Linked DNA regions of Elephas maximus indicus. Each later gene encodes a partner of the first gene's protein in a complex. Links are inferred from orthologs where the notes say so. Each region holds a gene or a part of one and is shown on either strand. Other genes may lie near its edges. The genes, in order: SCML2 and histone H2A.J.

Region 1 (16,248 bases):
ACTGAAGGGAAGAAACACATCTGATTCACTGCCTAATTTAAAATTAAAAATATAATCGAAATCTTCAGCCAGTCAAAACTTATAAAAGGTGGGGAAAGTGACCAAATGTTAACAAAAAACAGGGGCTTTGTCAATACACTTCCTTTAAAAATTATGTTATGGCTATAAGTCTACAAGTTACATACCATACACATGGAGCTGTTTATGTCTGACATTCAACACCCGTTAATCCTTCTGCGAAAGAGGTCAAGAAAAATCAAACGGGTATTCTATAGGCAAGAAGCAAAGAAAGTCCTACCAACTTTTCCCTGAGAAAAGAAAGCATCCTCAAGGCATGCCCTAGAATTGCAATATATCTATCCCTTCCGAAGTTTACAATGGCACGTTACCACAAGAGGTGGGCACTTTCTTTCCGCTCTTACAACAATTTGCGCCTATAAACTTAGGAAGGCGGAGAGCCACAGCCATAAACACAGGTCACAAGTAGTAGGTAGTCAAATGCTCTCTATCTTTAAATGTTTTCCAGCTCTTTACTCAAACGAAAACTCAACAAGCTTATCCTAGTATTTCACTCTTGGTAAAATAAGGAATTCATCTAGCCTATTTTTTTTTAAGTCAGATGAGCACAATATAAAGTGGAATGGCACCATCACATAAACTGTATATGAGCCTCAAATCTTTCACTTTTCACACAATAAGCTATCCTCATTTCTTATTTTAAAACCTTTCCATCATTTGCCCAAAAGAATAAAAGTAAGAGAAAGGCTTAGGGATATATATTTAGTATAAATCACTTGGCATAAAAACCTCGAGTATTATTTCTTTCTAAGGTGGCCAAGGTTTACTTATATTAGACAATATAAAGACAAAATAAGTAAAATGCTTTATTCATGAAAACCAAAGAATATATGCACATTTTCAAGTCTTAGATGGCTTCTGAAATTTTCTCAAGTTCTCCTACTTTAAGAACCACCACCTCTGTTCTCTTTTTTAAATGAGATGTTATCGCTACAGCAAAGGCATAGCTATGCTTAGTTACCAAAGCCAAAGCTAGTTAGAGCCTGGAGAACTTAACCAGCAAAATATACCAGCCAATTTTAATCTAATATAAACAGCAGCGGTTTCTTTCATTTATTCCCCAAGATAAAGGGATCATAAATAATAAGACCCCCAAACCAGGGAAGAGTAAACTCTTTCTTTCAAAATCACCATCATTTGCCATTTTCGAAGTTTCCAGGTTTTTGATTCCTGGAATCAACAATCACTTGAAATTGTGAGCTACTCTGAGGTAGTAATTCTCAGACATTAATAATGTTTCTAAAAATCTCAGGAGTGCTTGATTTGCTCACTCCAAAGGAGCACAAAATATTTCTTGGCAATGCCAGACTAATCTTTGCACCATAGCCTCGAGGCTCTAACTTTGAGGGCTGGCAGAACTCACTTTGTTCACATGTTGTATATCCTAAAAATCAGGAATATGACTCTGAGGAGACAATGAGGCTCCCAGGGAGGCGGAACTAATAGAGAAGGTGACTTCAGATTTCTAGTCACAACTGGAATGAGAAGAGAGCTGGCATAATGGGGAAAAAGCGGCAGACAGGGTAATCTGGCAAAAAAGGACTAGAGGTGACTAATAATTCAAATAGCACAGGATCACCAACATCCATGGGTATTCCAGTTACTAAACTTAACTGGTTAACAGTCATTTCTACTAACCCAAAGATAAATATGCAAGGCCACCCACCACCCACCCACCAGGAGCTCCAACTGAAATTGGAACTTGAATCTTCCTTAAACTGAACATACATATGCCGTTTTCATTCAAAAGACTTGGTATTTACTCAGCCTTTTCAAGGCACTTTACCATCATCAGTTATTTCACAGTGAGGCAGCACAGGATTACCCTGACCATTTCACTGATGCGGAAACAGACACCAACAGCAAAGGGAACAGGGGCAGGAAGAGGGGCGATAGGAAGCATCTGGGAGGAACAGGCAGGCAACTAAAAAGGAACAAACCCAAAAGAAAATGAGAGTCACATCTGGCTTATGGCTGACAATCATAACCCTTATTTGTTATTTTTGAGTTCAGAGAGATTTCTGACACATTTTGAAAAAAAGAGCTCTAAAAAATTCAGTCAGTCAAAATCTAGTTACATTGTAAAATCCTTAGTCATAGGAAATAAAGTTGCTTAGCATTAAAAAACAGCCACTCTCCAGGATACATACTTGTTTCAATTTATACCAGTAACTCATTTTCCCTCTCTAGGGTAAACAATATGTTATCTATTTGTCCCAGAAAATAAGCTCTCGTTAAAATGTATAGCTTTATATAATCAGAACAAATAAGGCACAAAGTTAACATTAGACAAGTCAGAAGTAATTTACAGTAACATCTAGAATTTTGTTTAGAGAATTATGACAAAAATACTGACTCGTTGAGTTTGTCTTTTAAATGTTCCAGTCTTATTCATTTTCTTAGCTGTAACCTTAAATTTTTTAGGAATAAACTACTGGGTGGGAAGCCTTAAACACCCAGAAACTAGCGCTGTGCCGAGCACACAGTAGTCTCTGATTAAATGTACTCTGAACTGCAATGAGCCCCGTACTATAGACAGTACAGGCACTTAATAAAGATGTGTTGATTGAACAATAAATCAAAAGGACTGACCAGCTGCCTCATGAGAAAAACTGATACCACCTCTTTAAAACTGACTCCAATGTTCTTTGTACTTATTATGACATCAGCTTTAAAGCATCCTCGTATATAAAGCAGTTCAATGACATTCATCTTTTTTTCCAAAATACCATTTCCAAAACAAATCAGGTTCTCTGGGGGAAACAGACATACACTCTTAAGAAGTTTGTAAGTTTGCATGATTAAAAAATTTCAAAGCCATTTTAAATAGTGTTTGCCTTTGTTCTGGGTTTTTTTTTTTTTTAATTCTATCGGACTGTTTTGGAGGTTATAAATAAAGCAATGCAAAACGAATACAAGGCATCAGGTGAGTGTTCATAAGCACACTCCTTTCTCAAAAATCTCAATTGGATATGGCATCATTAATATAACATTAGGTTGCATTATAGAAAGTGATTATGTTACATTACATCTGAGGGTATAGGGGTTAGGATTCCAACACACATGGGGGGGGCACAATTCAATCCATATCAGTTTATAACCAAGACTTAAAAAAGGGACTCAAACAGATATTTGTACACCGATGTTCATGGCAGCATTATTCACAATAACCAAAAGGTGGAAACAACCCAAGTGTCCGTCAATGGATGAACGGATAACAAAATGTGGTATAAACCTACAATGGAATATAAAGAGAACTGAATATGCAGCCATAAAGAGAAATGACGTTCTGATACATACTATGACATGGGTGAACCTTAAAACATTATGCTGAGTGAAATGCTGGACACAAAAAGACAACTTTTGTATGATCCCACTATCTAGAACAGGCAAATGCATAGAGAAAAAAAGTCTATTAGTGGTTTACTAAGGAATGGGGGGAATGGGAAGTTATTGCTGAAGGGTTCTGAGTTTGTTTGGGGTGATAAAAAAAACTTCTGGAAATGGATAGTGGTGATGGTTGCACAACATGGTGAATGTAACTAATATCACTGAATTGTACACTTAAAAATCATTAAAATGGAAGATTTTTCATCATATATATTTGACCACAATACAAAAGGAGGGGACATGAATAAAGAGGCACTCCAAACTTCTTACATCTTCTTGGGTAGATATGCTATTTTAGGCTATTTCTCTCATTAAGAAGGGACCCCATTCCTTAACTCCCACCTCTATCTCACCCTTTAACTGGGAGGGGATATTGGTTTTCTGATTAAATAATGGTATCACACCTTCGCAATGAAATTGAGCAAAGTGCAGTCACCATAGAGCTCTATCTTTTGCCTCCAACTTTGAATCTAAGTTGTGTCTCCCACTCTAGAGAAGACTGATTACTGACTGTCCAGTCCTTCTTTTAAAAATTGTCTTCTGTAGGCCAAGTATTACATGGTACCTCCACATTGCTCCACATCTCTGCTATATATGTCTCAATCAGTTATTTTGTACTCGCAGAATGCACAAAGGTACACATAGGTGTGCATGTCCTTTTCTTAAATTGTAATTTTCTTTTCTCCTAAACAAGTCAAAGCAACAACAACAAAAAATCCCAACTGGACTCCTGTCCAAAAGTTTCTTTTCACATTCCTCCCATTAAATATACAAAACCACAAACAACCTGAAAGAAAATTCGGCCTTGGAAATACCTTGTTTAATGAGTAAGTAACAAAAGGAATGGCAAGGAAGGCAAAATTGTCATTATTAAAGAACATTCCCAACTATCATTATCGAAAAAAATTAAATGTGCATTTATGAAGTATTATTACAACATAATTTCTTGTTATAGGTAGTTGTACTCCATAAATGTTGCCTTTTTATAATACCTGCTTCCTGAAAACGTAAATATTAATAGCTCTGGGGGCATTAAAAATGTAGTAGTATCTACAGTTCTTTCGGGGAAGAAAGCGATCCTCGGTAAGTTGTTAAGTCTTATGATCATAAGCAAGTTACTGACTTTCCCTTGCCTCAGTTTCCTCCCTACTAACCGACCCATTCCCTTTCTAGAGATATTGTCCTAAGCTCACAGGCACATCTTAAATATTAATCTTCTAAGTCTTCAAATTAGAGGCCAATTTCTAAGGGTAATCATACTTTGGGATGTATGGCAAACGTTTTACAACCTTTTAAAAAGAAATCAATGGTCCTCAATGGGAACTTGGAAAGAAATACCTGTACATCCCAAACATATTTAAAAAAAGAGGCTGAATTACAGCTGAGCACCTGAAGCTAAGTATAACCTCGACACACAAATCCGTAAAATTGGAAAAGCCGTTCTCCATCTGGCTCTAAACAAACCAATGCTGTTTTTGTTGTTGTGTGCCATGAGTGGATGCTGACTCATGGGGACCCCACAGAAGAGAGTAGAACTGCCCCCATAGGGTTTCCTAGGCTGTGAATCTTCACAGGAGCGGAGTCCGCGGGTGGGTTGCAACCTTTCAGCTAACAGACAGCTCTTAACCACTGCGCCACCAGGGCTCCTTTCACAAAGCACTACCAAAAAACCAAAACCAAACCCACTGTCGTCGAGCCAATTCCGACTCACAGCGACCCTAAAGGACAGAGTAGAACTGCCCCATAGGGTTTCCAAGCCTGGTGGACTCGAACTGCCGACCTTAAGGTGAGCAGCCATAGCACTTAACCACTACGCCACCAAGGTCACAAACAACTAGTCCCATGAAAAAGTGCGAAAGGTGTGTAACCATGCGGCAGCTGTTTCTAAATGAGGGCAGCGACGGTCCACGAACTCGGCCCCGCCGGCCGCGAGGGAACGGCGACCTCTGGCGCCTCGCAGCTTCTCCGGAGAATCGGCACCCTCTTCCCGCCCCCACGCGGGGCGCGCCCTCCTCTCCCTCCCGCTTCCCCCGGGGAGCGAGACACAGGCACCCCCACCCCGGGAGCCCGGGCCGAGTCCTGGGTTCGCACCTGGCATCGCGACCCGGCCCGCGCTCCGCCGCAAGCGCATCCTTCCGGGCTGACATTTCCCTCCCAAACTCCAAAAGTTGTCTCACGAGTCCCCGGAAGGGGCCCAGGACAGCCTCTGCCGAGAGCCCGCAAAGGCATCCCCGCTCCGCAGCCCAGGCCGCCCCCCGCGCAGCCGGGGCCCGAGCCCGGTCCCTCCCACCCGGGCCGAAGGGATGCCCAGTGGGGCGCTGTCCGCGCTCGGGGACAGGGGCCGCCGCAAAACCGCCGCAGGCGGGATGGGCCCGCGCCCAGCGACAGGAGCCCCGGGAGGACCTGAGGGGCGGCGCGGAGCGGCCGAGGGGCGCCCGCCGAGAGCACTACGAGGGCCGGGGGCGAGCCCAGCCCCGGGGAGGAGACCGCGCAGGGTGGGCCGAGGGGCTGCGGGGCCGAGCTGCAGCGGGACCCCCGCGGGGCGGCGAGGGGGCGTTGCTCGCGCGGGACGCGCCGCCGAGGACGCCCCGCCGCCCGCCCACAGACAACGGCCAGGGCCCGGGCACCGCAGCTCTACCTCTCTGCTCCTCTCGGAGCCCGGAGTCGCCACGCACCTCGGCTCTAGTCGGCCCGAGGAACGAAATTGTCACAGCGGTCGCGCGAGCCGGTACCGGGCTTCACACCGCCGCCGCCATATTTGAGAAGCCGCGCGCGGAGCCGCGCATGCCCCGCAACCGCCACCGCCGCCCCGCCCCCGCCTGCCCGGCTGGCCCGCGTGCCCTGCGGTGGCCGCGAGCACGCCCTGCGACCGCCACCGCGTGCCGAGCCTCGGCCGGAAGCCCTGGGCCGAGCGGCCCGCCGCCCGCGGCAAAGTCCCTGCGGGCGCCTCTGGGCGCGGGCGGCGGGCCGGGGAAGTCCTCGGCATTCTTCCCTCGTCTCCCCGCCCCCCCCCGAAGCCAGTCACAGTCCTTGTATCCCAGACCGTGGTGAGCCCCCGAGCGGGACGCCGGGGTCCGCGTTAAGTGTCCATCCCGGGAGCTCGCTCCCCTTCGCCATCGCCTTCGACTCCCGGCCACCACCCACCCTGGCCACGCATCCAAAAAGCAAAGCCAGCGCTTTCCTGGGAACTCATCCTGCAAGTTCGATGAGCAGGAAAAAGCAGTGCGTTAAGGCAGCCAGAGCAAAGCCACTCCTTCGTGAGCTGCAGCAGATTCCTTGAGACAACTTTTTTTCCATGGGTTTTTGCCACGCATTCCCCTCCCAGCTCCATTTTCTGGCTTTAGTCGTGCCTCTAAACCCAGACTGGAGCTAACGGGAACTGGAGATTGACCCACGGAGAGGAAACAAATTGCTCACTTACTTGAGGGTGCTCGGGAGCGTCCTCCAGAGTCCCTTTTGGAGTCCCCTCTGCCCGATCCCCCCTCGCCCCGGGAGGGGAAGGAACTAGGTTCCGAGGCCAGTTGCGCAGGTGAAGATCGCACGGATGGGGAGGAGGTGTAAAAGTAGCCCTATAAGGGCCCACGAATCTCTCAGCACAAAATGTAGTAAACAGAAAATGGAAGAAAAACAGCCCGTCCCTCGCTGTGAGGTTGAGTATACCTAAGCGGATTTAAAACTTTTATTTCAAAACAATACAATATGCTGTGTATGACTGGCAGGCCTGCTCTTTCTCTCTTCAGCGCTTTGAAAAGTTGGGCGTAAGTTTTACATCAATGATCTTGTTAACTTAATACATAGGGCATGATGTACTTTTAAAATCAAAATTCAGAAATCAGAACCTGAAAAGTTTTTTTAAAATCCGCGGAATATATCCATTTTTAACAGTGCCAAATAAAATGATTTTCATATGCAACTTTTGCGGTATTAAAAGCCAAATGCCTTTTATTGTATCTAAACATTGGCAAATAGCGCAAAATCCAATTGCTCTGATTTTCTTGAATCCTCTAAAACATGAATAAATCCATGTTAATGCAAAATTCAAGTAAACAGGCAAAAATAGAAAAAACTAGGCCAATGATATGCAAATATTAAAGAGAGATTTGATCATATCAATTATGTAATACATATCACGTAGAAAATGTTGAAATGGTCTAAGATGAAGGTTTGATTTTTTTTTTAAACCAGAAAGATAACGTCAGGGTTTTAATCTACACAAGCCCTTAGTATGGGCAACAGTGGGCTGAGGGGACTAATTAAGAATTTAAGTCCCCTCAGCCCACTGTTGCCCATACTAAGGTGCAGTAGTTAAAAGCTTGACTGCAGTTCCAATCCACCAGCAGCTCCTGGGAAACCCTAGGGGGCAGTTCTACCCTGTTCTCTACCCTGTTCTATAGGGTTGCTATGAGTCGGAATCGACTCCAAGGCAACGGGTTTGGTCTTTCTGATGAGGAGCCCTGGTGTTGCAGTGGTTAAGAGCTCAGCTGCTGACCAAAAGGTTGGCAGTACCAACCCAAAAGCTGCGGTAAAGATGTGGCAGTCGGCTTGCAGTTGGCTTCAGTAAAGACTACAGCCTTAGAAACCCTGTGGGGCAGTTCTCTTCTGTCCTATAAGGTCACTATGAGTCAGAATGGACACAGTGGGTTTTGTTTTTTGGTTTGGTCTTTCTAATTCTAATGCAAAGAAAATATTTGAGGTTCATCTCTACATTCTCTATATGAAACATTTGGGTTATTGCTTTTTACCTCTTTTACATGCAGGTATGTACCCCGTTATTAAATTGTAGAAATACTCTGATTGCAAAATTGCCCCTGTCACTGATGCTCTGATGCCTCCTCTACTTCCCATGTTCCTGTTTTTATTATGAAATGACTGAAGCCCTCGCTCTAAAAATGTAACCTGAATTCTCTGTGTAAGAACAATATCTTCTCAGTGGCTGCCTTCACCAAAGCATTTATAAAAGTGGAACTCTTTCATATATATTAAATATGAGTTGTTGATAATGATAACAATAGCTGCCATTTAATGAACACCTACCATGTGCGGCAAATCATGCTAGTCTCTTTATATAAATAATTTCCAACAGTCACAATGTTCCTATGAGGTAGGTATTCTTATTCCCATTTTGCAGGTGAGGAGCTTGATTATTACAGAACAAACAAGTGGCAGAGTCAGCTTTTGAACATATAATTGAACCCTTCTTTATCTGTGCCATGCTTGTGTTCAGTCTTCTGCTTTTATCATATACTGTGTACATAAACATTCAATAATAACTCTAATTTACTTATATTCTGCTTTTCCCCCTTTGCCAAAAATAAATTTGAGACTGTTTTTTGTTAATGTCAGGAGAGATCATAATAACATCCCTGTTCCATTATTTGGAAATATCTTGTACATGGTAGGAATTTGATAAATATTTGTTGAATGAATGAATGAATACCTATCATTATGATGTTCAATTAATTTAGCCTAGAGAACGTGAAAATAAGGGGAGCCTTTGGACTGAAAGAGTAAGGAGTAAGGTTGGTAAAATCCAAATTTTCGTGACTGATTTTTCATGCCTCAGATTTATTCCTGTCAATTTGCTCCTGGAGTTTCCTGACTCGGCCAAAAACCAGGACAGGCTTGAAGAAGACATATCACCCTTCCCAGTCCAAGCCTGATGCAAAATACTCCTGTCTCTCAAGTGTATTTGATTGCTCCCTTTTGTACCTTTCTTTAGAGTTTCATATTAGTCAATCAGAATGGAAAGATTAGCTCCTTTCCTGGATAAGCAAGTTTAATGTAGTCCTCCATCCAGACAGGGCTTTTCTTGAAACAATGTTATTTGCATAGTTAAAGTTAACATTTTATCATTAGCGAAGGCTCCCTCTAGTTTTCCGACTTCCTGAGAGATACTTTCTCCTAAACACAGAAGCCTACGACTGGCAGAGAAAATCCACATAGTAAAAAAAGTAGGTATTAAATAATCAATGAATTGATTAAAACAGTAGCTAGATTTACAAACGTCTTCAGATCTTTGCTTCTTACAAATTGCCTTCCCCCCCCCATTAAACCAAGAGCACATATCAGTAAGATTTAAATTAGTATCGCTATTGTTGGTTACAATAAACCTTTTTTTGCCCTAACATCAAAATAATAATTCCCCTGGAAAAATACTGAGAGGCGAAATTTGTAATATTAAGAAAGAGCAGCTAGTCTAAACAGGAAAGCAATGTATTGTAGTGAAAGCAGGACCCAACTGCCTCAGGAGAGCTGAGCTCTTGTCTTGAATTCCAAGTCTGCCTAACTATATTTCTTTAGAGTCTTTCCATGCCTCAGCTTTTTCATCTTTAAAATGGGGATAATCTGTCACACTTACTTCACAGATGAGCAAGTGCTATTCAAATCTAACTAAAAGAAAACCACTTGATCTTTCCTCAACAAATCCCTGCACTTTTTTTAAAAACATATATTAGTTTTTTACCAAGCAAACAAATGAAATCTAAGTTGACTTTGGCCAAGCCAAGTATTTCATATGCTGCAAAAACTGGCATAACTTCAATGAACATTACATACTGCGCTTGACCATTATTACATTCACTCAGCCCTTCATTTAAACCCCAGACGTTTAATGAATACCTGTTGGGTGTTGCTTTTCTGCTAGAGGCGGGGATAGTAAGACGAATAAGACAATTTGAATATGCAAGGAGTTTACACCAGCTCCAAAGAGGAGAGAGAGAGATATGACTAGAGAGATGGATGGATTGATGGATGGATGGATGGATGGGTGGATGGGTGGTTGGGTAGGTAGGTGGGTGTTTTCATCTTCCAAGGACCTAGGATCTCTTGCCACACCCTCAATCACATCAAGCATTTTAAAAAGTAGCCATATAAAATAATATGAGTGGAGCTGCAGTTGGCCAGCTGACATAATGTTCTTTGGACATTTATTAGTTTTGATTTTACAGTTTTTATGCTGGTGATTCTCCATTAGAACCTTCACCCCTTCCACACCTTTCGCCTCACTCTGTCCTGTGGCAGGGATTGGGAGTGGGGGGTGAGAAGGGGGCTGACCCTCAAGGAGTGCATCACCCTGGCTCTTTGGCCAACTGGTTTGGCCAAAGGGCCTGCAACAGCTGGAGAGATGGGAATCCAGGGGAGAGAGAGGGAGGCGTATTTCTTCCCCACTCCCTTCCTGCCTAGGACTGAAGTTGGGCCGGTGGCAGGGTCCTCTACAAAGATAGTTCCTGGCAGGGTCTCTTCCTTCCCAGCATCAGTTCTCACTGGGTCTTCAGGATGGAGGGGTGGGGGTAGCAATTCCAGCTGTTACTGATCCCTGGGCTCCTTCAGCATCCCTTGTTAGTTCTCTTAAACTTCCCACACCTTAGTAAGTAATCCATGAAATTCTGTTCAAAATCCCATATGAGTGCACCTTTTGTTCCTACTGGAACCATTATTGAAATGGCTTTCTTTTCATATTTGAGCCAATCAACTAAGGGTGTAGGTAGGGGTCTCAAATATTTTTGTCACTCCTTTGAGAATTCATGGACCTGAGGGACTGTGTCTATAGCACCTAACGGTTTCACAGCCTGTCATCTATAAACAAGTCACTATAATACTGTGAGCTAAAAGTTGATAAAATTAACTTAGAGTTAATGTCTAAAAGTGAAGGATACAGAAAATAATGTTTGGTTAATAATCAGCCTTCCACAATCATTAGTTCCCCGTGTGCTTATTTCTTAAGAGGCCTAAAGAAGTGGCGTTTGAACTGAGAAGTGAGAAATTGTGGAGTTTGCCAAGCAAATATGGAAGCTCGTGAGGAAAGGCATTTACACAAATTAATGAAAAGTCACTGCATGGTCTTTGAAAAGTGAAAGATTCACTGTGCTGAAAACAAATAAGAAGGGGTCGATTTAGAGAGGACTTTGTATGCCATGCTAAGGTATTTGAACTCCATTCTGTGGATGATGGGGAGCCATTGAAGGCTCTCAAGCAGAAAAGAAGCTGTAGATAAAGTTGCAAATCCTAGCAATCCCTCTAGCTGCTGCTGTAGCTTCTAGGGCTCTCTTTCCTTCTCCTAATGGACCCCTGGCTTCTGCAGTGGCGGGGCAGGCACTGACAGGAGGCCACTGGTCCTGCAACAACAGCCCTGGAGAGTGTGGGCAGGAGTGGACAGAGGCTGGAAGCAGTCAGAGCAGTCTGGAGTCCATGGTCACAGGGAGAGTGATGAGGGCCAGAGCCAGACAGTGGGCCAGCTGGGAGAACAATTCCACAAGGCCATCTCAATAAGTATGGCTTCATTTTCTCTTTCCTCAATTGAGGTTTAACCTATATACCATAAAATGCACAAGTCATAAATGTACAGCTCAATTAATTTTTACATATGTATACACCTGTCATGGATTGAGTTATGTCCCCTCAAAAATGTGTGTATCAACTTGGTAAGGCCATGATTCCCAGTATCGTATGGTTGTCTTCCATTTTGTGATTGTAATTTTACGTTGAGAGGATTGGGGGGGGATTGTAACCCCACCCTTACTCAGGTCTTCTCTTCGATCCAAGGTAAAGGGAGTTTCCCTGGGGTGTGGCCTGCACCACCTTTTATCTCTAAAGAGATGAAAGAGAAGCAAGCAGAGCTGGGGACCTCATACAACCAAGAAAGCAGCACTAGGAGCAGAGCCCGTCCTCTGGACCCGGGGTCCCTGCGTCTGAGAAGCTCCTAAACCACGGGAAGATTGAGGACAAGGACCTTCCTCCAGAGCCGACGCCCTGAATTTGGACTTGTAACCTACTCCCAATCCCAACTAGACTGTGAGAAAATGAATTTCTTTTTGGTAAAGCCATCCACTTTTGGTATTTCTGTTATGGCAGCACTAGATGACTAACACAATATCCATGTACCCACACCTATATCAAGGTATAGATATTTCCAGCATGCCAGAAAATTCCATTTGATGCCTCCCAGTCAAGGCCCCTGGACCCTTCACTGTGCCCCTGTCCCCCACCCCACACAGGTAACCACTATAAATTAGTTTTGCCAGTTCGTGGACATCTTACAAATGGATTCATACAGTTATGTTCCCTGAGTGGATAAATTCAAATATAATCAAATATCCACTTTTTTCCTGACACTGACTATGAGGGTATAAGAAATCCCTGCTTTTTACTTCTGTTCTACTTCTGACACCAGCTGCCCGTGCACCACTTCTTCCTCTGATCCTAACCACCTGGAGCTAGGTCAGACCTCACAAGTTAAAGGGCACAGTCCTCCAGACTGCCAGTTCTGCCCAAGACCACAGATGCCAGCCACAAGCTTGGTTGTCCACATGACCTCCACACTTCTGACTTCCTGGCTACAAGTGTGGGGGAGTTCCCACTACCCCTTCAGGATGCCAGCTGCAAGCTCTGGGGTTCCCAGCCCCCTTGCTTCTGACCTGCTGGCTCCCACTGAAAAAAAAAAAAAAAAAAAAAAAACCCAGTGCCGTCGAGTCAATTCTGACTCATGGCGACCCTATAACCACTACTCCTTCAATTCACTAGAACAATTCAGCATTCGCGGAAAGTGCTATGTTTAACAATTATAGTTTTATTACAGCAAAAAGGATACAAATGAATAGACACATGGGGTGAGGTCTAGGAGAGTCCCCAGCGTGGAGCTTCCATGTCCCAAAAAGGGACCTGCTCCTCTCCCACATGCATGGATGTGTTTCACCAACTAGGAAGCCTGGAACTTCTATGTCCAGAGCCTTTATTAGGGCCTCATTACGTAGGCATGACTAGGGTCTCGTGTAGCTTTGATGATTGAATTATGCATCCCACCAAGGCCAGCCAAGATCAGGCCACCTGGTGGTCTTTGTGGCCTGGCCGGTCCACCACCGGCCCCCCTCGGTTGCACAGACCCTCAGGTGTTGTCTGGAGGTCTTAGATAATAAAGTCATCTCAATTATTCAGGAAATCCCAAGTGTTGTCTCTCAGGGACCAAAGACAAAGGCCACATGACATTATGTAAGGTAATTAATCCTTCACCTCACATTCCCTTTGGTGTCTGGCTTCTTTTACTTTGCTTTAAATCTCTGAGATTCATTCCTGTTTGTGAACCATCACCCTCATTCTTAGCAAACATTGCAGACGACTTCACTGTACCGCTCTCTCACAATCTGTTCTTTTTGATTAAAGCTGTTTTATCTTCCAATTATTTTCTCCTCCTCCTTGCAATGAATCTCTCTAATTAAGGCTGTAGTTCAGCCTCCAATTATATTAAATCTTGGTCATCTTGATAATGAGAGCTTTACTTTTTATTCAAAGTCCAGGGCAGGTTTTACTTCTCACCTGTGTGGGATACTGTTAGGTATACCATTGACCCTTTTCCCCTTTTGGGTTCTCTGTCTAAATACAAATTTGTAAACCAACATGGTGATTGGGAAAGCAAACCTATTTAGAGGCTCTTTAAATCCCATTTACTCTATAGATTTGGGCAGTTCGGTTTTGTCATTTGCCTCTGCCTCAGTAAAAACAAACAAACAAACAAAATAAAACAAACAACCAAGAGAAATTGATTGGAAAAGTAGAAAGTCACACTAAAATACACATAATGAAAACGGGGCAATGGCATCTGACAGAAGGAAGAAGAGCGTGAGTTCAAGAGAACTAGGAAATGGGAGGAACAGAAGTAAAAGGGTAGGTAGAAGTGGTCACCTGCCTAGCCTTGAAAGATCAAGGTGAGTTGGAACTTAAAAGATGGGAAAAAGCACTTTTTGCCCTGTGGAGCATGGAATGTTCTTTACTCTTTGACTGGTTCAATTCAGTGTCTTTCTGCCCCTTTGCTCGCAGAAGCATAACTGGAGTATGGCAGGTACAGCAGGTATTGCACTGGCCCTAGGCGCATGGTGCCACTGAGCAGTTTCTATCAACCCAGTATGGTCTGCAGTGTATCTGCAGAAAATGGCGCCTATGGCAAGCACTGATATTGCACCCCTGCCCAACCATCTGACACCTCTCTTTTAGATATCTTTACCATAATGTCAGCTCAAAATACAAGTCAAGCTTGTTAATCTTTTAATTAACACATTACCATGTTCGAGGAAGGACGTTGGGCCATATTGGGTTAACAGAAAGTGCATAGTGGCACCATGCACCCAGGGTAGTTGAATATCCTAGATATGCCTCTGATAATGTCTGCTGGTTTACATCTTGCACTTCTTTGGGACCTCACACTATTCGCTTCCCCATTGAGCCCCTGTCTTCCCTGGACTGGGGCTCTTAGGCCTCCCATCTCAGCTCCAGCTTGAAGAGTGGCCTCTCTCACTTTAGTCCTGATAATATTTTCACTCAGGCTGTGTCACCACCCTTGGTGGTTTCTCATTTTGTGTTAACAGCTGCTGATATTCAGTGCCTAGATCCATTAGTTCAGTGGTTCTCTAAGGGCGATCCCCAGACCAACAGCATCAGTATCACCTGGGAACTTGTCAAAAATGCAAATTCTTGGGCCACCACCCAGACCTACTGAAACAGAAACCCTAAGGTAGGGTCCAGCAATCTGTGTTTTTAACAAGTCCTCCAGGTGAGTCTGGTGCAAGTTAAAGTTTGAGAACCACTGCTGTTAGTTCAGGGGCCCTGATGGCACAGTGGCTAATGTGCTCGGCTGCTAATCTACAGGTTGGTGGTTTGAACCCACCAGCCTCTCTGCAGGAGAAAGTTGTGTCAGTCTGCTTCTGTAAAGATTTACAGACTTGGAAACCCTATGGGGCAGTTCTACTCTGTCCTACAGGGTCGCTATGAGTTGGAATCGACTTGACAGCAGTGGGTTTGATTTTGGTTTGGGTTTTATCATGGGGGGCCTGGGTTCAATTTGACTCTGCTCTTTTCTGGGATTGTGATTGAATTAAAGTGTACTGAACTCTAGAAGTGAATGGGGAGCAGTCCCACCAGCCCAAAGCACCTCCGGGGCCAGTTGAGACTGCCCGTCTAAAGCCAGCACCTGACATCGTAATGCATCTGCATGACACTCAGTGCCCATCCATTCCTCATTCGGGCAGGAAAGTGTTCACTGAAACCACTACTGAGCCAGGGCCTGTGCCAGATGCATTCAGTGTGCAGACAAATAAACAAGCAATTTTGGTTGTCAGTGCTATCAATGAAGGGAACACATTGATCATAGGCACAAATAGGCTTTCACTTGTTGAATAAATAAACTCTTATGGGTTTATGTAGATGAATGAAAAATAGTCCTTCATTCAGAATTCTCTAAACTTTGAATACAGAACACAGTGAAATTAGACGAGCAAACGTGAAATTTACTTAGCATTTTCCTCCCTTAAAGAAGTTGTTTAGCTTCTAGTTTTTGGAAAATTCCAACAAACTCTTCTTCATACCTCAACCTCCCAGCATGTTGTCTTTCCAAACCTTGCCTGTAGGCATCTAGAGAGGGGGTCAGTCAGCCACATGGTCTAAGGACCAGGGTCCAGCTGACCTTGAATACATAGTACCCTCAATGGCTTCTCTCTCCCCTCCCATGGTGGGGACCATCAGCCTAGGTGCCTGAGAAAAGAAGGTAAAAAGTTGAGGTTTTGTGGGGTGCTTTGTGCAAACCCTCAGGGTGCAAACCTTTTTTATTATATAGTGTCAGTTAGGAAAGGGGGAAAAAAAAACCAAAATACACCAAGCCTAAGTCCGCAAACTTCCAAAGTACAACACAACACATTAAAGGGTTAGTGTCATGAACAATCAGGTCCTTGTCGTCTGCCCATTTGCTGCCCAGTTTCCACAAATAACAAGCAAGCTCTAGATTTTCATAAAACATTT
Region 2 (14,643 bases), on another chromosome or scaffold:
CCGTCAAGTCGATTCCGACTCACAGCGACCCTATAGGACAGAGTAGAACTGCCCCGTAGAGTTTCCAAGGAGCACCTGGTGGATACAAACTGCCGACTTTTTGGTTAGCAGCCGTAGCACTTAACCACTACGCCACCAGGGTTTCCAAAAAAAAAAATTTTTTTTTTTTAACAGGAGAGCAGAAATTCAAACCTAGGCAGCCAGACTCAGTAACTGGAGGCAGGAGAGGGGAAGAAAGGGGAAGGAAGGTTGAGATCATGTGAGATAATCTCTTGGAAATGTAAAATAGGTAGGTGAAGTATGAAGCTCAGGAGGCAGGTTGTTGCTGTACCATAAACATTGAATGAGAAAGACAGGAGAGCACAAAAGGGAAAAAATGAGGCAGGAAATCAAAGATAATAATCATAACAATAGAATTAATCTATTGAGCTTTTACTATACACTACTAAGTGCTTCACACTAGGAAACAGATACTATTATCTCGCTTTTATGCATGAAAAAACCAAGACTCTGTTATGAGTAAAAGCCTAGATTTTTATTGGGCTGAGTTTTTTTTTCCTGATTTGAGTTCAAATCAGAATAACTTAACTATAACTTCAAACATAATTATTAGAAACATGAAATACCATTCTAAAGAAATCAGAACATTCTTACTCTATATGAAGACATACACAAGAAGATAAATTCAAGATAGGAAGTTCCTTGAAGAACATGAAAACAAGCGGATGCTCTTAGAGGATCCAGATGTTTAAAGTGAATAAATCTAGGACTGAAATATGTAAAGACAGTCACTCCCTCTTCTGCATGGAGTTTGAACACTGCCAACACTTGTCTTAGACTCTTTGTCTGCGTCTTCTGCTGAGCCACTCTTCTTTTGAGTGTCGCATTATTTCTTTAGCTACTGAGAAAGGGAAAAGCAGCCTGTGGCAGTTAGCAATTGGCCTAGTACTACCAGCTAGGCCTCGGTGTTGCTAAGAGTCCGCCTGACAATCAGAAGTATGCTATGGTGTTCTGCTGACCACAAAAAAATTACAGAGAACACCAACAGCAGACGAGGTCACTCGGAATGTGAAAGGTCAAAATAAAAAAGAAACGTCACTCTGTAATCAAGCCTAAACAAAACCTGAGCATTGTCCAAACCACAAAAATGACCCAACAGTCTCCTCTCCTTGCTAATATGCATTAACGTATTTACCAATTACAGCTTTAGTGTCACTTCATTCCTTGTGCCTTGTAGTTAAGATTTATTAAGATGTTGTCATAAACTTGCCCTACTTCCTGACAGCATGTAATCCACAGTAAAGTCCCAAAATCGACACATGCATACCCAAATCCTCTAAGTCATTTCTAACACTGTCTGAGACACCCCACACTTCTCCATGCTGTGTTCTCCCTTGCTGCAAAAAGCAGTAAACTCAACTTGTTCAATTGAGTTCCTATATGTTGAAGCACTTTAGTGTTGAGCTTATTTTGTTTCTCCAGGAATAAGATCTCTTGGGATCTTTTTGGTTACCTGATCAGATTTGTGCTGTTCTTTTAAAAATTGCTTTTAGCCTCTATCCCCTGCTCCTATGGCCTGTCAACTTGTCTAATGCCAGAGTGTTGTCTATAAGAGGGAAAGTCTATAGGGAGAGTAGATGGACACAGGTCAGATAAAAACTGCCCCCTGGGGGTTGAGGAGTTCGGGTCTCCCTGAGCCAGCAACTTAGGCCAAACCTTGCTTCCAGTCACTACTTCCAAACCGTCTCCTTCAGTCTTTGTGTCCCTGAGAACTAGTCTGTTTAATTTCATCTACCGGGAACCAAAAGGTTTACTCAAGCTCAATGATCCAACTCGTTGCCATCGAGTCCATTCCAACTCATAGCGACGCTGTAGGACAGAGAACTGCCTCATACGGTTTCTAAGGAGTGCCTGGTGGATTTGAACTGCTGACCTCTTGGTTAGCAGCCATAGCTCTTAACCACTATGCTGCCAGGGTTTCCGCTCAATGATCAGTGATGACAAATTCTGAAGATTAGAAGTTACAGAAGCACCATCTTTACAGGCCATTTAATTTCTCCCAGTCTTCAAAATCTAAAATCGAGACTCTTCAAGGCCAAACACTACTTCCTTCATATTGTCTCATTATAACACTAACCTGTACGCTTGCCTCTCTGATAAGCACAATTTCACCTGGAACAATTTGGAATTGCAGTGGCATTTGGGGGGCTTTTGACGTGAACAAGATAGTTCATTTAAGAAGTACTTTAAAACAGGAAGCAAAGAAGCCCTCATATGCAGATTGTCTTGTCTGCCTAAAAGACAGATTTTCTTTAACATAGGACTCATTCTTCCTTTGTTTCCATAATTCAAGGATTACTAAGTGCTAGCTTTTCAACTGAATGGCTTGATAAATTTATCAAGGACCCAAGTTACTGTCTAAACCTGTCATTCCTCTTTTGTATATGTAAGGTTAAAACCTGTTTTTCTACACCTGGAACTTTCTTTCTTCTCCTTGCAGAGAAAATAAGGCTTACGGTGATAATTTCATATTTGCCTGAAGCTTGCTTCCTTTTATTTATGTATGTATTTATAGATGCACATTTGTATTTATTTAATTATTGTTCCTCTCTGTTTCTGTCTCTTGGGAAACTAAACATTAACTGATTTACAAAAAAAAAAAAAAAAAAGGTCAGGGTCAAATCAAATTTCTCACGATTTAAAGATTCTAAATTTCCTGTGTTTGTTTTATGAATATGTAACCGCAAAACTCCTTGACACTCTCTCAGTGTCCTTCAGCCTGAGTCCTCTCCCTCTCTCATCGTCCTTGGGAGTCCTCTCCCTCCACCATCGCTTAAATCTTGAAGACCCTCAGTCTCTTCAGCTGTGGCTATTTTCATTCTACACATTCTTTCTGGATGATTTTATCTGGCTATTTTTAATCATGACTCCCAAATCCTGATCTCTAGGCCTGACCTTCCCCCCTAGATTCAGACACACATCCAGCTGTGGGTATTGTTTTTGACTTTCCCCTACCTGGCTCCCCATCCCCCCAACTCCCCATCCCAAGCCCTGTGCACTGGCTGCCTGTCTACCCAGAATACCCATCCTGTCAGGCTTTTACTCCTAGACCCATTTCAGGTGTCACTCCCCCCACCAGTGTCCCCACCAGGCTGAGTGACACAGGTGCCCCTAATACCGGTTCCTATAACACCCTGAGTATCTTTCTTTACACATAGCCTGTTACATTTAATCATCTTTCAGAGTCTGTATTCCACATTAGACTTGAGTTTCTTGACAGCTGGTTACTAGTCACAAGTGTAACACATAATATACATCCAATCAATTGTGGAACATACAGGTTCCATTTCTAATCTGAGTGGGTGCACTTAAGAAGGCATTAACTTCAAACCAGGTGTCTTCGGAGGAAAAATGCAAATTCAAGTTCACAAGCTATAACCATTTATTACCCTTTTCTGTTATAGATTGTGAATTGCCTGTAATTAGTAAAAAAAAGTCACCAGACTTATTTTTATGGTTTATTATCACAAAGGTCACAGGACTCCTAGAACGCCATATGCTTACTATTTCAGCACTTTCCATAACTACTGCTACTCACTCTAAATCCAGTTTTAATCATGACGATGGCACAGGACCGAGCAACATTTTTTTCTGTTATACATAAAGTTGGCATTTGTTGACGCCAACTCTACAGACCCATTGCCATGGAGTGGATTCCGACTCATAGCGACCCTATAGGACAGAGTACAACTGCCCCTCAGGGTTTCCAACAAGCTCCCGGTGGATTCAAACTGCCAACCTTTTGTTAGCTGCCAAACATTTAACAACTGAGCCACCAGAACCCCTACAGAAGCTAACAACTACTAACTGAACTTTTCTACACAGGAAACTTAGTGCCCTCGTTTACAGCATCTCATTGAATCCTCCCTAAAACCATCTGAGGTAAACTCTATTATTATACCCATTATATATATGAAACAAGTTTAAAGAGGTTGAATCACTTTTCCGTAATTTCACAACTATTAAGGAGCAGAGAACCCAGCTGGACCTCTTGTGCACCATGTCGAAGCCTCTTAACAATTAGAAGGGGTGGGATGCCCTATACTTTCAGTACTACTTTGTAAGGAGTTTGCATATAGTATGCCAGTCATCACTAATGGTGGAGCCTGGCAAACCCTGTGATTCCAAGTAGAGAAAACTGAGCAGACCCGTTTTCCGAGACACAAAGGCAAGACCGGTCCCGCAGGAAAAACAGATCAAACAAATCCTGACCAAGTTAGAGTCTGCCGTGCTGAATGGCTTACCTCCACAGGAAGGGGTGCCTACGTATGTAAATAAAACTATGGATTCATAAATCTACTGAAAATCAGAATTCAGTATTCATCATTTATTAGTCCTACGTCTTCTTCCATGTGGTCTCACACTCAAAGAAATACTGGCCTTGTAAATGAACAATGTTACATGACAAGAATTACCCGTTTGTTCATCAAAGATCACAAGATGAACTGATTTTGTAGAAAGTATGCATTTTCAACTGCAAAGAAATTAACCAGGTGAAAAGAACAATCCTCAAAAATAGAAATGGTAAGAGGCTGATTGAACCTTGAGGCAGGTAAGTGCTGAGGGCTGAAGATATAGCATACATAAAAAACAAAAAACCAAAGCATACATATACATATATAAGTATATATGTATATATATTTTGCAAAGAGACTTCAACCCTAACTCATAGGAAAAATGAACCCAAACACATGAAATCTAAACTGGGATCTTTTTTTACTGGCCCTGTGGGCAAGGATGGAGCTTGCTGAGCAGGTGAAATGAACTACCAACCAGGGGCAGAATAGGATTGCTAGTGTCTTAACTTCTAAATGTGGATTCCTGATCTGAAATGCATTTTTCCCTGTAGTTAACTCATTCGGCCTCCTGTTCTCCTCACATATTAAACCAATGCCGTGCCTGTGAACCATGGAACTCTTATAGAGGCATTGTTGGAAAGAGGTCATTACTTCAAGCAGGGGTGGAACATATGGGATTTCAAGAAGGCTATGTGTTGAGTACTAACCCCTTAAAGCAAGGGATTCTTTTTCTTACAAAGCAAAATCAAACCGATTACATGTCTAGAGAAATTTGATATGATGAAGACAAGACCACAGTGAAGTTAGAAACTTGCGAACATCATTTTAAAAGCTCACAGGCTATGTAACTCAGGACTACAGATGCTGCACTGTTATGCAACATGAATACCAGGGGAACGAATTTCCAACCGAATGACTCAGGCTTCTGCATTACACATACTACTACTGAATATTTTCTTCATTTTAAAGAAACGTGAACCAAACGTAAGTATCTGAAATCCAAAACCTGAAAACGCCACAGCTATCAGGCTAAGAAAATTTTCTTAAATTGATACCACGTCATCAGAGCCACCCTGTGAAGGCAGAAAAATCACTCCACCTTTTGAAAAGTATGGAGGGTGAGAATGGCAGAAGAAACAACTTCTTCCCCGAGATCGGATCGGCCCCTTGGTTCCCTTCCTAGAAATGGATCCTGAACAACCAACCCACAGACACACAGGACAGCGAAAGCTCTGGCCAGGGAGCATAATAATAATGCACCCACCCCATTCCCCGCCCCCACTCCCCGAATGCACACCTATTTCTGCCTCTCTTTTGCCTTAAGATGAACAAGGAGAGCCCTACCCTGCCCACCTCCAGGCCAGTGGGTCCTTCTGGTCTCCCTTACCAAGCCATAACGCCTCAAGGGTCACCTGCGAACCAAAGCAGCCAGTGGGTGGATCAGGCCGACCCACCATTACCTGCTCTAAAGGTTTCCCGGCCGCCCCACGACTACACAGCTCTCTCGACCACATGATTTTCACCGACTTTATTGGTCCCCGACCCGGGCAGGGTCCTCGCCTCCCACCTCCCCACTAGATCGCGCCAACTCTTCTTAACACCCAGCACATCCAAAGACACTGCGGGCGGACGCGAAAAGAGCCTTTGCTGGGGAAGCCAGCCCCCTTTGCTCCCCCATGGTAGCGCTGGGGTCACTTGCTCTTCGTCTTCTGACTCTCCGTCTTCTTGGGCAGCAGCACGGCCTGGATGTTGGGCAGGACGCCGCCCTGAGCGATGGTCACTTTCCCCAGCAGCTTGTTTAGCTCCTCGTCGTTGCGAATGGCTAGCTGTAGGTGGCGAGGGATTATCCTGGTTTTCTTGTTGTCACGCGCGGCGTTGCCGGCCAACTCTAGGATCTCCGCCGTCAGGTACTCCAACACCGCCGCCAGGTACACGGGCGCCCCAGCGCCTACTCGCTCCGCGTAGTTCCCTTTGCGCAGCAGCCTGTGCACTCGGCCCACCGGGAACTGCAGGCCCGCGCGGGAGGACCGGGACTTGGCCTTTGCCCGCACTTTGCCGCCCTGCTTTCCGCGACCGGACATGCTCCCCTCGCACCTAAAACTCCAGGAAGGAAGGAAAAGACAGCGCTCTCGTTCCGGATACGAGAATGCAGCGCGCCACCCCGGAACTTCCTTTACTTTTTTTTGCTACCACTAGGCAGCCAGCTCCCATTGGGCGCCGCCAATACTCGGCTCCGGTGACCAATGACAGGCAGGCAGGCTCCGCTCCCAATTAGCCGCCTTCTCCAGCTCTGTCCAATAGAAAGAGGAATCTTCTAGTCCTTATTTACATAGCCGCCCATATGAACGTTCAGGACCCAAATGCTGGGTGTCTGCAAGCCTGTTGGTTTTAATAGGTACTGAGGTTTCAGCATCCACGCTCGCTCCCAGGAAAAAAGACTAAAGAACTAAGGAAGCATGGTTGAAAATAGAAGAATCCCGAAGAAGAGCTACTGCATCCATAAGTACAAGTGCTCAAGCAGTTGAGGTCGCACAGAGCGGTAGACGTTGCTATGCTCCCTAGTTGCATTTTCTCATTCAAGTCAGCATACAGCAAGGTAGTTAGGTAACTCCACACCGCGCTTCTTGGAGGCAGTACTCTCCTCAAGCGAAATCACAATCTCCCTACCGAATTCAGTCTGCCTAATAATAAAAAAAAAAAAAATTTTTTTTTTTTTTTTTAATACAGGTTAGGTTGCCTGTTCCTTTACATAAGAGCCTTGTTCCTGCCAAACCTAATCGGCCCCTGTTAGCCAAACAGCGTGGGGAGCAGGCCTCCAAAAAAGGTTTCGTCAATAACTGGCATTTTGAACTTTCTTAACTAGACTGGCTGACACTGGCCTCCCCTCAAAGTTCTGCAGCTCTCAGGCTGCCCATCTTCACTTCTAAGGTCTCCCAAACTACAATGCTAGACTAGACATGAACGCTTTCTGCACAAGCAGCAGGAACAAAATCGCCTGGCCAAAACTTACCATCTTTTTTCTTTGAGGTATGGGCCTGAAAAGAGTCTTTGGATTCCAGTGAGAGGCCTCAGGTGCAACTCAGGCGCTGAGGCTGAAAGTCTTGGGTTGGGCTTGCCCTGTGTAGGTCAGGGCGGCTCAGCAGATACTGTCACTGAAAACTTTCCAGGGCCTTTGGTGTTCTCCTTCCCCTGTTCCCTTATAGCCCTTGTGGCGCTCAGAACTCGTGAAAAGACTAAAGTAAAAAACGGCAGCAACTGTCCTTATATACTTAAATTGCAAATTCATAGCAAACTGATTTCTTTATCCAGAAATTACTTTCTACTAACGTTTCTTTTACCTCAATGTTTTTCACAATTGGAAATCCTGGTGGCATAGTGGTTAAGTGCTATGGCTGCTAACCAAAGGGTTGGCAGCTCAAATCCGCCAGACACTTCTTGGAAACTCTATGGGACAGCTCTATGCTGTCCTGTAGGGTCGCCATGAGTGGGAATCGACTCGAGGGCACTGGGTTTGGTTTCTTGGGGGGTTTTTCACAATTATACAATTATACTGCTGACGTGATGTAATGTTAAACATTTACTTATTGAAATAATTTTGTTTGAATTATAGTATCCATTCAAATTTAAGGAAACCCTGGTGGCATAGTGCTTAAGTGCTGCGGCTGCAAACCAAAAAGTCGGCAGTTCCATTCCACCAGGCCCTCCTTGGAAACTCTATGGGGCAGTTCTACTCTGTCCTATGGGGTCCGCTATGAGTCGGAATCCACTCCACGGCAGTGGGTCTGGGTATTCAAATCAAAAGTGAAACAAAATTACCTTTTCGCTATCTTAATACAGATTTGATTTCCTTGAAATAACATTTTCAATTTTTATGCGTATGTCCTTAGTGCCTAAGGACACTCGATGATTAACCCATGGTAGAAACTCAGTAAATGTCTTTGAAGCAGAAGAGCAGTGTGTTGTAATGGTTAAGGCAGTCATCCTGGAGCCAGACTGCCTGGGTTCAAAACCTGACTCTACCACTTACCAGCTGACCTGGATAAATTATTTAACCTTTCCACGTCCTAAAGCCGTCTGAAGGTTAAGTACATTAGTAAACATCCAATGACTTAGTTATACTGGATAAATTAACATACAAACCTCTCCTGCGGTTTTTAAAAAGATATTCCTGGAATGAGTTCTGTGAGCGGACTTACATTTTTGCCTATATCCTGGAAAATTCTTAACAGAGAGTTGTTTATTATTATTTTGGGAATGATTTTTCCTTTCACTCGTGTAAGCAAGAAGGATTTCTAACTTGAAAATATTCTGATGTTAACTTTGAAGAAAAGTAAATACAAATAAATCAGCCTGTTTTACTGTTACAAGAATCCTGATCTCTTCGAGATGTGATACTTTTTTTTCATTCTGAATCAAGGATTAAAATCATGTAATACAGTTTGACTATTCAAGATTTTTTTTTTTTTTTCAGCCATACAAAGTGTTCCTGGGGCTCTTTTAATTCATCTTTAACAAAAAAGTACTTTTTGGTTTATGGAGATGGGCAGGATTGAAAGAAGGGCAAACTGTAAGCATTTATATGTGTAAACATTTTCCACAAAGCTTTCCTGCTGGAAAGGCTCATCTTTCAAAACTAGCAGCAGAGAGCCCAATTTACTAAAATATTCTTGAAGATGTTAAGTACCTGGGGAAAAATTATGAATTAACTTCTAAGTAGTGCTGCTTTTTAGTGCAATAAAAACTCCCAAGATTCTTAAATGCTAACAAGCGGCCATCTAAGATGCATCAATTGGTCTCAACCCACCTGGATCAAAGGAGAATGAAGAACACCAAGGTCACACGATAACTATGAGCCCAAGAGACAGAAAGAGCCACATGAACTAGAGGCTCACATCATCCTGACACCAGAAGAACTAGACGGTGCCAGGCCACAACTGATGACTGCCCTGACAGGAAACACAACAGAGAACCCCTAAGGGAGCAAGAGAACAGTGGGATGCAGACCCCAAATTCTCATAAAAAGACCAGACTTAATGGTCTGACTGAGACTAGAGGAATCCCGGCATCATGGTCTCAAACCTTCTGTTGGCCCAGGACAGGAACCATTCCCGAAGACAACTCATCAGACATGGAAGGGACTGGACAATGGGTTGGAGAGAGAGGCTGATGAAGAGTGAGCTACTTGTATCAGGTGGACACTTGAGACTGTGTTGGCATCTCCTGTCTGGAGAGGAGATAGGAGGGTAGGAGGGTAGAGAGGGTTAGAAACTGGCAAAATTGGCACGAAAGGAGAGACTGGAAGGAGGAAGCAGGCTGACTCATTAGGGGGAGAGTAAGTGGGAGTATGGAGTAAGGGGTATGTAAGTTTATATGTGAGAGACTGATTTGATTTGTAAACTTGCACTTAAAGCACAATAAAATTATTTAAAAAAGAAACTCCCAAGAGCAGTGATCCGTCCCCCCCACCCCCCCACGACCCCACCCCAGGAATTCTCTTCAAGAAACTGGTTAGAGCTTCCTGATTGGGATTTGCAGTATGGCACTATTCGAAACCACAAGTGTGGCATCTGTTATTTTAAAATAACTTAACATTTTTAAATGGAAGTTGACAATCTCGAATTGGACTGAAAAAAAAAAAATCAGTTAAATCATAGAGCTATTTGGTTGAAAGGCAAATACAAGCTTCAAAGGGAGAAAAGCCAGAAAAATCTGCAAATTGCCCAGAGGAAAGGGACGAGGCAGGAATAAGCTGAGTAAGGCTGGACCTACTGAAATAATTCTTATTAAATTTCCCCGTAGGGCCACAAAGAGGAAAAAAAAAAAAAAAAAAAGACCCATTAAAACGTTTCCTCTCCCCCACCAATGACTAAAAACAAAGACCTAAGAGTGGGAGGCTGTAATCGCTCTGACATATAATAAGATGTAACGCGTCCTTTGCTCCTATACCTTGATTTTCACGTTAGTCCGCGAACGGTACTAAGAATTCCTTTTGAAAAAATATACAATTAGAAAAAGCAGGGGATCTGGCCTACATAATTTTTTAAGCGTTGAGAAAAGCCAATATAAAAGTTCTACTACAAGCTCATTTTTTCTAAACGTTACCCTATTGTGCCTTTCTTCAAATTTATGGTAAAAAATATCAGAAAGTTTTTTCGAGAAAGACACAAAAAATCAGTCTGGTTTTGCTTACTGCCTATTGCTTACTGAACTAACTGTGCAAGATAGAAACGAATCAATCAATTGTAGGGAAAAAAAAAAGTCTCCGGAGGTGGGGCGGAGAGCTCCACCCACTTTTTTGAGGTTTCCAAACAGGTCCGCTACAAGGGACTATAAATCCAGGTTAGCGGCTCATTTTCTTGCAGTGGCCTTCGGTTTTGGACGTAGGTAGGTAGTTACTGCTAGAAATGTCGGGTCGCGGCAAAGGTGGAAAAGGCCTGGGGAAAGGAGGTGCCAAGCGCCACCGTAAAGTCTTGCGGGACAACATTCAGGGAATTACGAAGCCTGCCATTCGGCGTCTCGCTCGCCGCGGCGGTGTCAAGCGCATCTCCGGGCTCATCTACGAGGAAACTCGGGGTGTGCTCAAAGTCTTTCTGGAGAATGTGATCCGTGATTCAGTGACTTACACTGAGCACGCCAAGCGCAAGACAGTCACGGCTATGGATGTGGTATACGCTTTGAAGCGCCAGGGCCGTACCCTGTACGGCTTCGGAGGCTGAGGTGTGTTAGCGGCTTTCGTCCAGACTCCAAAAGGCCCTTTTTAGGGCCCCCACAATTTCAAAAAAAGAGTTGTAATGTATTTACCCTGCAAGTATATGCATGTGGTGAATGCAGAAACGTGGTATACATGCAGCGTTCCGGTTACCATCGACAGAAGATTTACTGTCGAAATTTACAGGGGTTGCTTCCTCTTGGGTTTGGAGCTGGGGAGAAAAGGCGTGAATGCAGCAGTCCTGGCTCCCAGCGTCATAGCTTGGAAGTGCGGTGCAGTGCAGTAGTGACTCTGCTTTTTTTTGTACATCAAAATACAGACGCCAGGCTCTGTCTTTAGATCCTGTCTAGGGGAATAGATCATCTCCACTTACTGAATCCACAGATTTAGAAATAGTAACCATCCTTTACGCAGTGGAGCACCTCCTTACATAGTGGCTTCTATGTAAATTAGGACTAGCCAACTTCCACTTCCAATTCGAGGGAAAGGCTACGCGTCAGGAGGCGGTTCTTCTCCAGTGAGACACCGGAGCCAGGGATGTCACAGCCTCCAATAGGAAAACACCTCTACAGACAAATCATAAAACACTAAATGCAGTCTTAATGTGGCGTGGTGTAGTCTCCTACCGACTGTGGAATATATTGTTTCTTCGCTTATGTTTTGAATGAGAGATGAGCAAATCTAGACGCGGGAAGCAAGGCAGCTAAGTGCAGGCGAAGTCCAAGGCCAGGTGAGAGCTCGCGGGCTCCCGCAGTTCCTGGTGGGCCAGCTGCGCAAAGGCTGCTGCGCCAGTGGATATGCGTCTGGGCGCCAGCGTTCCCGATAGCGGAGACCCTGGTGTTGGCGGGCAGCGCGGCTCGATGGCAAGAAAAGAAGGATCCTCTCTACCTGCACTTCGCCATGTACCACGGCGAGAAACTTAACAGCTGGGAGGCCCCTGCTCAGGGTGGCGCTCTGCCCATCATTAAGGCAGTGCTGCTAGCAACCCAGGAGACGGAGTCTTAAATGACCCTCTTGCAGCCGGGAAATAAGCCCTGGTTTCCGAGTAAAGGCTATTTTCATAGCTGCCGGCGGGCCTCTAGAAGGGAGGTGGGCCGTGGTGTTGCTCCTAGTAAATTCAGTGAACATGGTGTGGGCAAGAGAGCTGTGCAGTCGCAGGTTGCTGCCCAGTGATCCTGCGGCGGGGCTGCCCGGAGACCTGAGTAAAATGGGGCGCGGAGGCAGCCACTTGAGGGCGCTTCCCCGAGGCCGCCAGGGGACACCAGTGAGGTGAAGCAAGAACCATAGTCGGCATGATTGGCTTTGCTCTACTCCTGGCTCTGTCGCACCTAACCTCTTTGTACGAGACAATTGAGAAAAGGACTTAGAACCTTAAATTGCGGTGCAATCCGTTGTAGGATTAACTAATCACTCCAATTCTGGCTTTTGTAAACATCGTGAAGTTACTATGCTAGGGTATGCTAGGGTCCCAGCCTTAAAAACAGCAGTGCAAGTCTCATTGTGAGAATGTCCTAGTTTTTTGACATCAAATGTTTTCTAACCAGAGAAAAGTTTCTTGTGTTCCCTCAACCGGTCTCTGTCATTATACTGGTAATGGCTGCTGTTTATTGAGTGCTTATTGTGTGCGGGTACCCTGGTGGCACAGTGGTTAAGAGCTCGGCAGCTAACCAAAAAGTCGGCAGTTGGAATCCACCAAGCTGCTCCTTGGAAACCCTATGGGCCACGGATTTTTTCGTAACTGTGTGTCAGGCACGTTGAAACACATTGTATTCCATTGCATTTGATTCTCTGGCAAAATTATGAAGTACTTATTAATTTCCACTTGACAGATGAGGAAGCTGATAAGAGGATTAAAGATCTGGAGCCAGGGTTTGAACAGAGCCCTGTTATTTTCTGCAGTCCTTGCATTAACCCTAACCACTATACTCCACTGCTTCTGGCATGGAGGCTCTTGTTCCTGTTTGCTGGCATTTCGCTTCTAAGTACTTTCTTCTATTCCATATAAACCAAAACCAAACCTTTTGAGTTCGTTCCGACTCTTAGCGACCCTATAGGACACAGTAGAACTGTCTCATAGGGTTTGCAAAACTGTAATCTTTATGGAAGCAGACTGCCACATCTCTCCCCTCTTGAAGTGGCTGGTGGTTTCAAACCACCAACCTTTGGGTTAGCAGCCAAACGCTTAACCACTGCACTACCAGGACTCCTTTATATTCCATATAGACCAAAGGTTATTCATGACACTGTGTTAATTCAGTTTTTAGGACAGTGAGACAGTGCCAGAAACTCCAATTTATTTAATACACGTGAGAAACGAAGATACTTAAAGAGCAGAGTCTGGTACACTCCTATGCCTTAATATTTGTTGAAAGAGTGAGTAAATTTGGGTAAATACAAGCAGAAGCTTTGTAATCTTGAAGATTATAAAAAATATGTATCAATAAATGTTCTACAAGTCTTGGAATATTACATTTTTATGAGACCTATGAAATGTGATAAAACAAATTATTTTAGAGATAAGTTATATTAACCCTATAATTTACTAAACTGTTGAATTTTCCATAATAAATATAAAAAGGAGATACTTTATATATTTTAATTAAATATCTACATTTCGGCATCATCCTCATTATCACTGACTCCAAATTCTTGTTTACTCACTGAAGGATAATATGAAAAAGCTGAAGGAAGGCGCTGCTTAATCTTTTTATAAAATTATTTAGTTATAATTGTTTCTAAGCAACATACAGTGTTTTGTTTTTACTTAATCTGACACTTTTCATCTTTTAATAGGAAAATTCAGTCCCTTCATATTTAGTTCAATAAATCTAAACATGATTTTGTTCCTTGCATATTACTTTTTCTGTTTTTCTTTCTTTTTCTTATTTCTACTGGTTTTATCAAAACACCCTTTGTAACAAACACTGCTGGTAACCCACTTATTACCATTCTCCCCTCGGCTCTCGATATCGGAACTCAGATTTTGTTGGACAAGGTTATGCATTTGGTAAAAAATTGTATTTCCCAGGCTTTGATGCTGACAGGGAAACCTTGGTGGTGTGGTGGTTAAGAGCTATGGCTGCTAACCAAAAGGTCAGCAGTTTGAATCCACCAGGCAGTGCTTGGAAACCATATGGGACAGTTCTTCTGTGTCCTATAGGGTCACTATGAGTCGGAACCGACTCGATGGCACCAAGTTTGTTTGTTTTCTGAATGCTGACAGGAGTGGCCATGTGGCTGAGTTCTGTGGTATATGGGTAGATTTGTTGAATGGGGCTTCTAGGTAACCTTCCTAAAAGTGGGAGTAGCTGAGATGAAAGAAATTTTGTAGTTCCCTCTTCCTCTTTTTCTGCTTGGAAGGTAGAAGTAATAATGGCCTGTAGCACTCATGAGATGGGACTGAAGATTGAAGTCAAATGTTAAGGGTATTGGAACAAAAAGATAAAAGGAAGCCTGAACATTGATGCAATTATAAAGCCACTGTGTCAGCCTTGGCTAGTCTACCTTTGGACATACTATACTTGAGGGAAGAATAAGCTTTTATCCTGTTTAAGCTCCTGTCATTTCAGGCCTCTG

The links.
Region 2: the proteins of SCML2 (region 1) and histone H2A.J are in contact, whole or in part, in a crystal structure (PDB 4EDU), measured with the Homo sapiens proteins. The link is inferred for Elephas maximus indicus from reciprocal best matches to the Homo sapiens genes SCML2 and H2AJ. Residues at the interface, in NP_006080.1 of Homo sapiens: Asp182, Asn185, Tyr187, Leu188, Cys190, Phe206, Trp209, Phe213, Pro239, Pro240, Gly241; in NP_808760.1 of Homo sapiens: Leu35, Arg36, Lys37, Gly38.

What each region holds. Positions count from the first base shown.
Region 1 is NC_064846.1:161,111,392-161,127,639, reverse strand, and holds the start of SCML2 (sex comb on midleg-like protein 2), read right to left. Parts: upstream 6,960-16,248; 5' UTR 6,890-6,959; intron 6,678-6,889; exon of another isoform or gene 6,613-6,677; intron 6,244-6,612; exon of another isoform or gene 6,107-6,243; intron 1-6,106. UniProt on the Homo sapiens protein: Putative Polycomb group (PcG) protein. PcG proteins act by forming multiprotein complexes, which are required to maintain the transcriptionally repressive state of homeotic genes throughout development.
Region 2 is NC_064822.1:73,359,273-73,373,915, reverse strand, and holds histone H2A.J, read right to left. Parts: upstream 6,507-14,643; 5' UTR 6,440-6,506; coding exon 6,050-6,439; 3' UTR 5,872-6,049; downstream 1-5,871. Other genes in the region: histone H4, read left to right, coding at 10,763-11,074. UniProt on the Homo sapiens protein: Core component of nucleosome. Nucleosomes wrap and compact DNA into chromatin, limiting DNA accessibility to the cellular machineries which require DNA as a template.